2 linked regions of the Oryzias latipes genome follow. The main gene of each other region encodes a partner of the protein of the gene in region 2 in a complex. Links are inferred from orthologs where the notes say so. Each region holds a gene or a part of one and is shown on either strand. Other genes may lie near its edges.

Region 1 (4,373 bases), on a different chromosome or scaffold from region 2:
GGCGCTGCCCTCCGCCGAGCTGAAGTTCCCAAAGCTGTCGCTGACAGGCAGGCTGGAGCCCCCCCCTGTGCTGGCGTCCTCGGGGCCCCGACACTTGGGGGAGTTGAAGTCGCCGAAGTCGTCGGCGTCCTGCTCTGCGTCCTGCTCGGCGTCCGGCGGCCCAACCTCTGCAAAGCCCTGAGCGCAGAAGGAGGCGGGCTCGCCAAAGTCCCCGAAGTCCTCGTCGCCCTCCCCAAGCGGGCTGCTGTCGGTGGGGGTGCCGCTCTGGATGGGCGGGGAGGGGGCCGAGCAGGTGGGGCTCATGTCGCCGTACTCCTCCAGGTCGTTTGTGGACAGCTGCCGGCCCAAGGACGTCTCCGTCTCATCCGGGGACACCCGGGCCTCCGGTTGATCCTGCCCCCCTTCAGCCCCGTCCAGCCCATTCACAGCTGGCGGGGCCTCGGCCTCCCTGGAGAGGGGGACCTCCTGAGAGGGCGAGGGAGGGGCCTCAGCAGGACAGCTTTGCTCCAGTTCTGCCTCTGATCCGGTCCCGTTCGTGTCCCTGATTGTGTCCCCTGGTGCCCCCCCCAGATCATTTTGACAGTTCCGACAGGCTGCCCCCGCCTGCAGATGCCCCCCAACAGGGCTGTCCTCTGTCTGGATTGGGAGCCCTTCAGAAAACGCCGCAAAATCTGCAAAGTCGTTTTCAGGACTACTGGCGGGGGGGCTCCCCGTGTCGTCCAGGGGCAGGCCCCCCCCAGAAGAAGGGACAGCATTTCTGGAGGGAGGGGATCCCTGAACGCTGAGGCTCTCAAACCCATTGGTCATCGCCCCCGAGTCCCTGCCGTTGCAGTCGGTCTTCACGGAGCAGTCCAGTGAGCAAATCACCTTCGTCACCTCCGCCCTATTGGCGGGCTCGCCCCCCAGAACCACACCATTCACCCTGGACAGCTCGGGGCCCAGCCCCCTGCTGGCCAGGAGCTCCGGGGGTGAGGTAGCGGTCAGGGCCTGGGTCTGGTTGAAGGTCGTGGGGGTGTCGAGCTCAGAGAAGCTGATGCTGCCGGGGACCCCAGAAAAGGTCCCGAAGTCTCCGAACTCGTCCTCGTCCTCCTCTGCACCGTCCTCCATCGGGGGAGGGGACGACGAGTACATGCGGATCACATCTGGCTCCATGACGCCGCGGGACGTCCTCCTGGCTACACCTGAAACAGAGGGCGGGGCATGAGCACCAGCGCCTGGTTATGTGAGCCAATCACAGAAGCTGTGCTGTGATTGGTCAGGCCAGGCCATGACCAGACCAAGACCAGGACCAGGACCAGACTAGAACCAGACCAGGACCAGACTAGAACCAGACCAAGACCAGGACCAGACTAGATGAAGTGCGGTGTGCAGGCGTATTTAATAATTCATTAAATTGGGTTTGGGCCGAGTAAACCAGAACCACCTGGACTGTAATCCTCCGATGGTCTGATTGATTTTGTTTGTCCTTCATGACACCAGGTTGGGTTCTGCTAGAACCAAACTAACCGGTTAGGGCACACCCCCATCCTACCTAAGAGAGGAAACTAGTCTGTGTGCAGTGGGAGGAGCCAGCGCTCCAGCCTGAACACCTGTCAGCTCAAACCAGGTTGGACTTCTTATGAACCGTCTGGGGAAAACCACATGGGGGGGGGGGGGGGGGGGGTAGTTTGTGGGTTTACGGAAATACTTTATGTCACATAAATGTAAATGTTCTCCATGGTGGGAGAAAAGCACAACCTCACCAGAACCTGCTCAACCAGAACTCTGCAGAACCTCTTCAGCTTCCTGGTCTGATTTGACACCAGATAATCAGAAAAATCAACTTTAGATCCGGATCCTGTCTATTATTTAAATATCTACAAAATAAGACATGCAGCAGCTGATGGAAACGACTTCCTGTTTGTTTACTTGCTCATTTCCGGTTTTACTTTTCGTTTAAAGTGACTCGCTGAAGATTTATTTGGGCTGTTAGTCTGTCAGGACGGTACTGAGCAGGAAGCTCACCTGAGAACATCACACCTGTCGGTCTGAGACCAGCTAACCTATCGCGAGACTTGCAGAGCTAGCACAACAGCAGCTGTTTCGCTTTATTTGTAAACACTTTTATTAGCTTTAAACTGTGCTTTTCCCGCCCACTAACAGCTGCTTGAAGCACGAGCTCACCTTCAGATCGCATCTGACGCGTCTTCTCACCTGTTGACGTCAGTGGCTAACAAACGCTGCTAGGTCTAAGGTTACCGAGCTGCCGACCGTCCAGCAGACACCACACACGTCACCAAAAATACACGGACACAGGTGTGCTGTTACCTGACGCGCCTCTCCACGCAGATCATCGGCACCGACAGAAGGACGGGTTCGGGTTCAAGGTTCGAGCCAGTCCTCTGCGCTCCGACACACAGCAGCTAGCTTAGCTTAGCCACATTAGCATGTGTAGTCAGAGTTTAACCTGTGGAACTGGGGGGACACATCCGGGTAGATCCCCGCGTGAAGGAGAAACGCATCGATCCGGTAACGTCCAGAAGGAAAACGACGCAGGTTGACGCAGTTTGCTCCGTTACCGGAGACCGCTGCGCAGCGCGCGGCTTCCTCCTGCTAGCCGTAGCCCGCTCGTGCATGGCAGGCACCCGGATGACGTAGAGCGCGCGCGGCACTCACCGTGACACGCTGGCCGGTCAGCTTCATGACTCCTCCGGGTCCGTCCTCGGGGTCGAGCCCGCTGGAGGTTCACTTCAGTCCGCCGCTGCTGCCCTGATTCCGTGTCTCCCAGCATGCACCGCGCCGGCGCAATCTACGTGCTCATACTGACCAGGTGAAACAGGTGACTTTCAGTGGCGGAGCGCAACCTGGCTTAGTTAGAGAAAGTTTCCGGGTTCCCGGGGTTCTCCCAGTGGTTCCGTGGACCCTTCACAGGGGCGGTCCTTCATTAAGCTGCGGCCGCGGGTCAGACAACCCTGAGGTCAGCGAGCACGAGCGCCCTGCATACACACACGTCTGTGGTCAGACCCGCCCAGGTCAGGTCCATGAAAACCCGCAAAGCGGTGGTTGATGGGATTTGGAGGAAGAGCAGAGCTTTATGAAGATGAACTTCATCTGAACTTCAGACTCGACTTTTAACCACAGACACTAAAACTCATCACTAATCCACTCACAATAACCCCTTAGGCCTGAGCGCGTCCTGACACAATAACCCCTTAGGCCTGAGCGCGTCCACTCACAATAACCCCTTAGTCCTGAGCGCGTCCACTCACAATAACCCCTTAGGCCTGAGCGCGTCCACTCACAATAACCCCTTAGGCCTGAGGGCGTCCGCACACAATAACCCCTTAGCCCTGAGCGCTTCCACTCACAATAACCCCTAAGGCCTGAGGGCGTCCACACACAATAACCCCTTAGGCCTGAGCGCGTCCACTCACAATAACCCCTTAGGCCTGAGGGCGTCCACTCACAATAACCCCTTAGGCCTGAGCGCGTCCACTCACAATAAACCCTTAGTCCTGAGGGCGTCCACTCACAATAACCCCTTAGGCCTGAGCGCGTCCACACACAATAACCCCTTAGGCCTGAGCGCGTCCACTCACAATAACCCCTTAGGCCTGAGGGCGTCCACTCACAATAACCCCTTAGGCCTGAGCGCGTCCACTCACAATAACCCCTTAGGCCTGAGCGCGTCCACTCACAATAACCACTTAGGCCTGAGGGCGTCCACTCACAATAACCCCTTAGGCCTGAGCGCGTCCTGACACAATAACCCCTTAGGCCTGAGCGCGTCCACTCACAATAACCCCTTAGGCCTGAGCGCATCCTGACACAATAACCCCTTAGTCCTGAGCGCGTCCACTCACAATAACCCCTTCGGCCTGAGCGCGTCCACTCACAATAACCCCTTAGGCCTAAGGGCGTCCTGACACAATAACCCCTTAGGCCTGAGCGCGTCCTGACACAATAACCCCTTAGGCCTGAGCGCGTCCACTCACAATAACCCCTTAGGCCTGAGCGCGTCCTGACACAATAACCCCTTAGGCCTGAGCGCGTCCACTCACAATAACCCCTTAGGCCTGAGCGCGTCCACTCACAATAACCCCTTAGGCCTGAGGGCGTCCACTCACAATAACCCCTTAGGCCTGAGGGCGTCCACTCATAATAACCCCTTAGGCCTGAGCGCGTCCACACACAATAACCCCTTAGTCCTGAGCGCATCCACTCACAATAACCCTTTAGGCCTGTGCGCGTCCACTCACAATAACCCCTTAGGCCTGAGGGCGTCCACACACAATAACCCCTTAGTCCTGAGCGCGTCCACTCACAATAACCCCTTAGTCCTGAGCGCGTCCACTCACAATAACCCCTTAGTCCTGAGCGCGTCCACTCACAAT
Region 2 (3,810 bases):
CAGGTCGTCGGATCGATCCCCGTTCTCCCCAGCCAGCTGTCGCCCCCCACGCGCGGCTTATATGCAGCAACAACCCCCCCCCACAGGGAGAAAGGATTTCCAGATCAATTATTACTATTATTATTACGTTTTTTGATTTTGTCTAAAAACGGCATAACCATAACCAAAAGACCACTGGGAACATTTTTAGATCAAAAGATGAGCGGAGTGGGTCTTTAGCAGAAACAAAATGCAGTTTGTACATTTTTCTCTCTTTCCTTGATGCCTAATTCATATGGGTTTGATTTTTGTGAGAGTGCGAGCTCTGTGTGTGCTGTGTGAGCTCTTCCTCACCCAGCAGATACTCCATGCCCTGAGCAGACTGGATGACCTCTGTGCAGACAGCAGAGCTGCTGATGCTGTTCAGGGTGTTGTTGGCTTTGGTGATAACCTTAATATGAACAGACACAAAAACCATCGTAGAGTCAAAAATGCTGTATTACACTATTATCTTGATAAATGTTACAACAAAACAGCCCATCAGTGTTTCAAGGTATGCCTGAAACATTTTTACAGATACAAATTTTATGTATTTTAGTATTTTTCTTCCCCTACAAAGCCTTTTAGAGCATCTCTTTACTGTTTGGACTAAAATAAATATTTTTAAAATGTGTTTTCTATTAAAAGAAAGTGATGTGAAATTCAAACTACTCGCTCTGTTGTTGCAACCAATAAATCCACATTTATTTTTTGCAGTTTTAGAGATCAATTGGACTAACACAAACCTCCAGAGCACTTTCCAGACACCTTTGCCACTCATAAGCATAGCGCTCGCTCTCCTGCAGCAACAAAGTGACAAAATATGAAACGACAAACTTTTATGACACATAGATGTCGGGTCACTGACGCCAGCAGCGAACTGTGGCGGTTTTCCTCACCTCCACCTCTCCGGTCAGGTTTTTGTACTTGTCCCAGATGACCGGCAGGGCTGGTTTTTCGCTTAGCGTGTTGGATCTGTCTCTGAAATGCTGCTCGGGAGCTGGAGACGGCGGCGATCGGCCAATTTCCCTCTCGCCTAAACTGTGACTGCGTTTGTGGGAGCCTAAGGGAAAAAACCAAGGAGACACGGACAATATATTCACTCACTGCGAGGACACTCTGAGAAATGTACCTGTGCATTCGCAGTCATCACTTTTTTTTTTTTTCCATTTTTATTGCAGCCATTACTCTCAGACAGTGCAGAACAGGTAAATGCTTTGGTTCAATAAAAAGCAATAAGGTTCAAATCAGAGGCTCAAATACGACTGAAATGTATGAATAATTCATCAGTATTTTGAGAACGAACACAAACATGTTAAGCGTGAACTGATGTGAGGAAGAATCATCCAGAAACAGGTAATCCGCCACCTTTGGAGCCATGTGTCGCCACTCAAACCAGCATGAAGCCGAACCGTGATAAGATTACAGCTCTGCAGCCAGAGACAGTCTGCTCGCCACAGTAATTAAACCCAGCAGCAACAAATGAATCCGTTCTTGTCACAGATAAGGAAATATTTATTAGACGGAACAGAGGAGCGAGCAGCACCAAAGTGGATACAGTTCATTTCTGCAGGTGGATTTTGTTGGAGGCCATTAATCCGTCTCAGCAGTCATTGCCATTAGAAAGCTGGAATGTCTTTGCAATGCTACCATCTAATGCCTAACAGCTTTACTGCATATCTGATGGCAATGTGGTGATGGAGCGGCACGTCTTTCATTCCTTCCTGAGTTCAAGGGCTTTTAGTTTCTGGAGAGCTCATACCTGGATAACATGACAGGTTTTAGGAGAAAAGATGTAATCTAGATTCACCCCAAAGCCTCACTGTCACAAAATACAGGAAGTCATGTCTGCTTAAGCATTTCACAGTACCAGCTCACTGCATCAACACCAGACCATGGATATTTTCTTAGAACTTCTTAATAATTACTCCAGTTTGGTTGGATTCAAATGTTGATGTTTCAACAAAAGAAAAAAATAACAAACATCTTGCTTTGCTTTTTAACTCAGACTGGGTATGTTTGAAAAACAATAATCACAATTTATTTTATTTTATTGTTGACGGATCTGTGTGGAGAAATGCAGTAAAGTTAGGACACAAGAGGACTTACCTTGAACTGAGAGGTCAAAGGTTGCCAGTTCATTCTTGATCATCTCCTCGCTGGACTTGACTTTGGCCTGAGCGCTGGCTTTAAGGAAGTCTGACTTTTCAAACTTGGGCTTGTCCCCTTGGAAGGCGCCAAACTCGTCTGGGGGCTCGCCTTGTTTCCCCTCAGAGCTGGCCTCCACGGCAGTGGAGTGAGAGTTTTCGGAAACGGTGCTCGCAAAGTCTCCGAAGTCGTCCTCGTCATCAGCTCTGCCTTGGTTGGAGCTGAAGTCGGCAAAGGCCTCAAACTTGTTTGCTTCAGATGCGCCATCCTCTGCGGTGGCCCTTGCTGTGGAGCAGCTCGTGATGTTTTCAGTGCTACCGAAGCTCAGCTGCTTCCTCTGGGATGGGATTAATGATGGAAGGGAACCTCCCTCCACGCCCTGCCGCTTCCTGACCTCACCTGGCAGAGTTTCCTCCCGGTCTGACCAGTCATAGCTAGCCAAGGAGCTGAGGGCGGACGTCCCGAAAGGGTCAAATTTCATGTCGTCTCCTTCTGTAATGACAACACAGACATACGAGTGGTTCCTAGCAGTAGATCAGACGCTGCTGTAGAAGGAATTTGTCTGCAGATCAAAGGATTTTAAAAGTATTTTTTTGTTGTTGCATTGTTTTAGAAATTGTTATTGTGTGGATTTGTCTTACTTTAATTAAAGCAGGCAGCTTTTTTATTTCAATCTGTTCTTAAACTTTCAGAATTCTCAAAATGACGGATGTTTTCAACCTTCCAAACACGTTTAGTGTAGAAGGAAATTATACTATATTTTTGGAGCTTTACGAGGGTCCACATCCATTTTAAACTGTATAGGTTTAATTTTGTGTATGATAAATTCTCTTTGAATTTTTTTGGTTGCTTTTTTCCTGTCTTTATTTTCCATTTTACCGATCCAAAAAAATGATCCGAACCGTGACTCTAAAAGCGTGGCACGACCCGAACCGTGAGTTTCTGATCAGTTACACCCTTAACTATTATTATATTTCTATACAACTATGTCTAAATGTGTAAACCATGTGTAGTTTACACAGGTATAAATTCAAAATCAAATCAAATAGACTGGAAATTATTGGTGATACCCAGCCCTAGTTTACAATGGAACCACAATGTTGATTTGAAAGCCAGAAAAAAAGTACAGAAAGTTTCTCTTGTAAAAATGTGCCATTCCTAAAGTGTATACACTTTAAGACCCTACTGTCTCCCGTCTAATGTCAAACTGTTGACCATTGGTCTTTAATTATGCAGTTCTTAGGCAAAATTTTAAAAAACTGTCATTTTCTGGGACAGTTTCTGCAGAGCGGCTGTAGTACATTAGGAATTCTGCAGAACAACTCCGCCCCGCCCCGCCACGCCTTACTGTCCACTTTGCCAAGAGCTCGCACCGTGGCCCACCCAGCATTTTTTTCAATGTCCCAAATGTGCTCTTTTGAACGGTGCCAGGTTCCCAACAATTTGAATAAAAAAATACTCAGAAATGCAATTTTAAACATAATTTTCCTACGACATGTCCTCATCATCAGAAAAACGTTAAAAACACAGATTTTCATCAGAGTGGGTCTTTAAAGGAACGTCTGAACTGACTGTAGCCATCATTAAACTGTATGATTTCATAATCATTTGGAAATGACGCCACCTTGAGAAATGTTTTACACT

Evidence for each region.
Region 1: synrg (region 2) and aftiphilin share a complex: the UniProt entries of both Homo sapiens proteins name them as parts of the aftiphilin/p200/gamma-synergin complex. The link is inferred for Oryzias latipes from reciprocal best matches to the Homo sapiens genes SYNRG and AFTPH.

Annotation. Positions count from the first base shown.
Region 1 is NC_019859.2:574,186-578,558, reverse strand, and holds the start of aftiphilin, read right to left. Parts: upstream 3,054-4,373; 5' UTR 2,771-3,053; coding exon 2,656-2,770; intron 2,639-2,655; exon of another isoform or gene 2,308-2,638; intron 1,182-2,307; coding exon 1-1,181. UniProt on the Homo sapiens protein: Component of clathrin-coated vesicles.
Region 2 is NC_019871.2:10,180,665-10,184,474, forward strand, and holds part of synrg (synergin gamma), read right to left. Parts: intron 2,659-3,810; coding exon 2,128-2,658; intron 1,082-2,127; coding exon 918-1,081; intron 819-917; coding exon 765-818; intron 431-764; coding exon 334-430; intron 1-333. UniProt on the Homo sapiens protein: Plays a role in endocytosis and/or membrane trafficking at the trans-Golgi network (TGN). May act by linking the adapter protein complex AP-1 to other proteins. Component of clathrin-coated vesicles.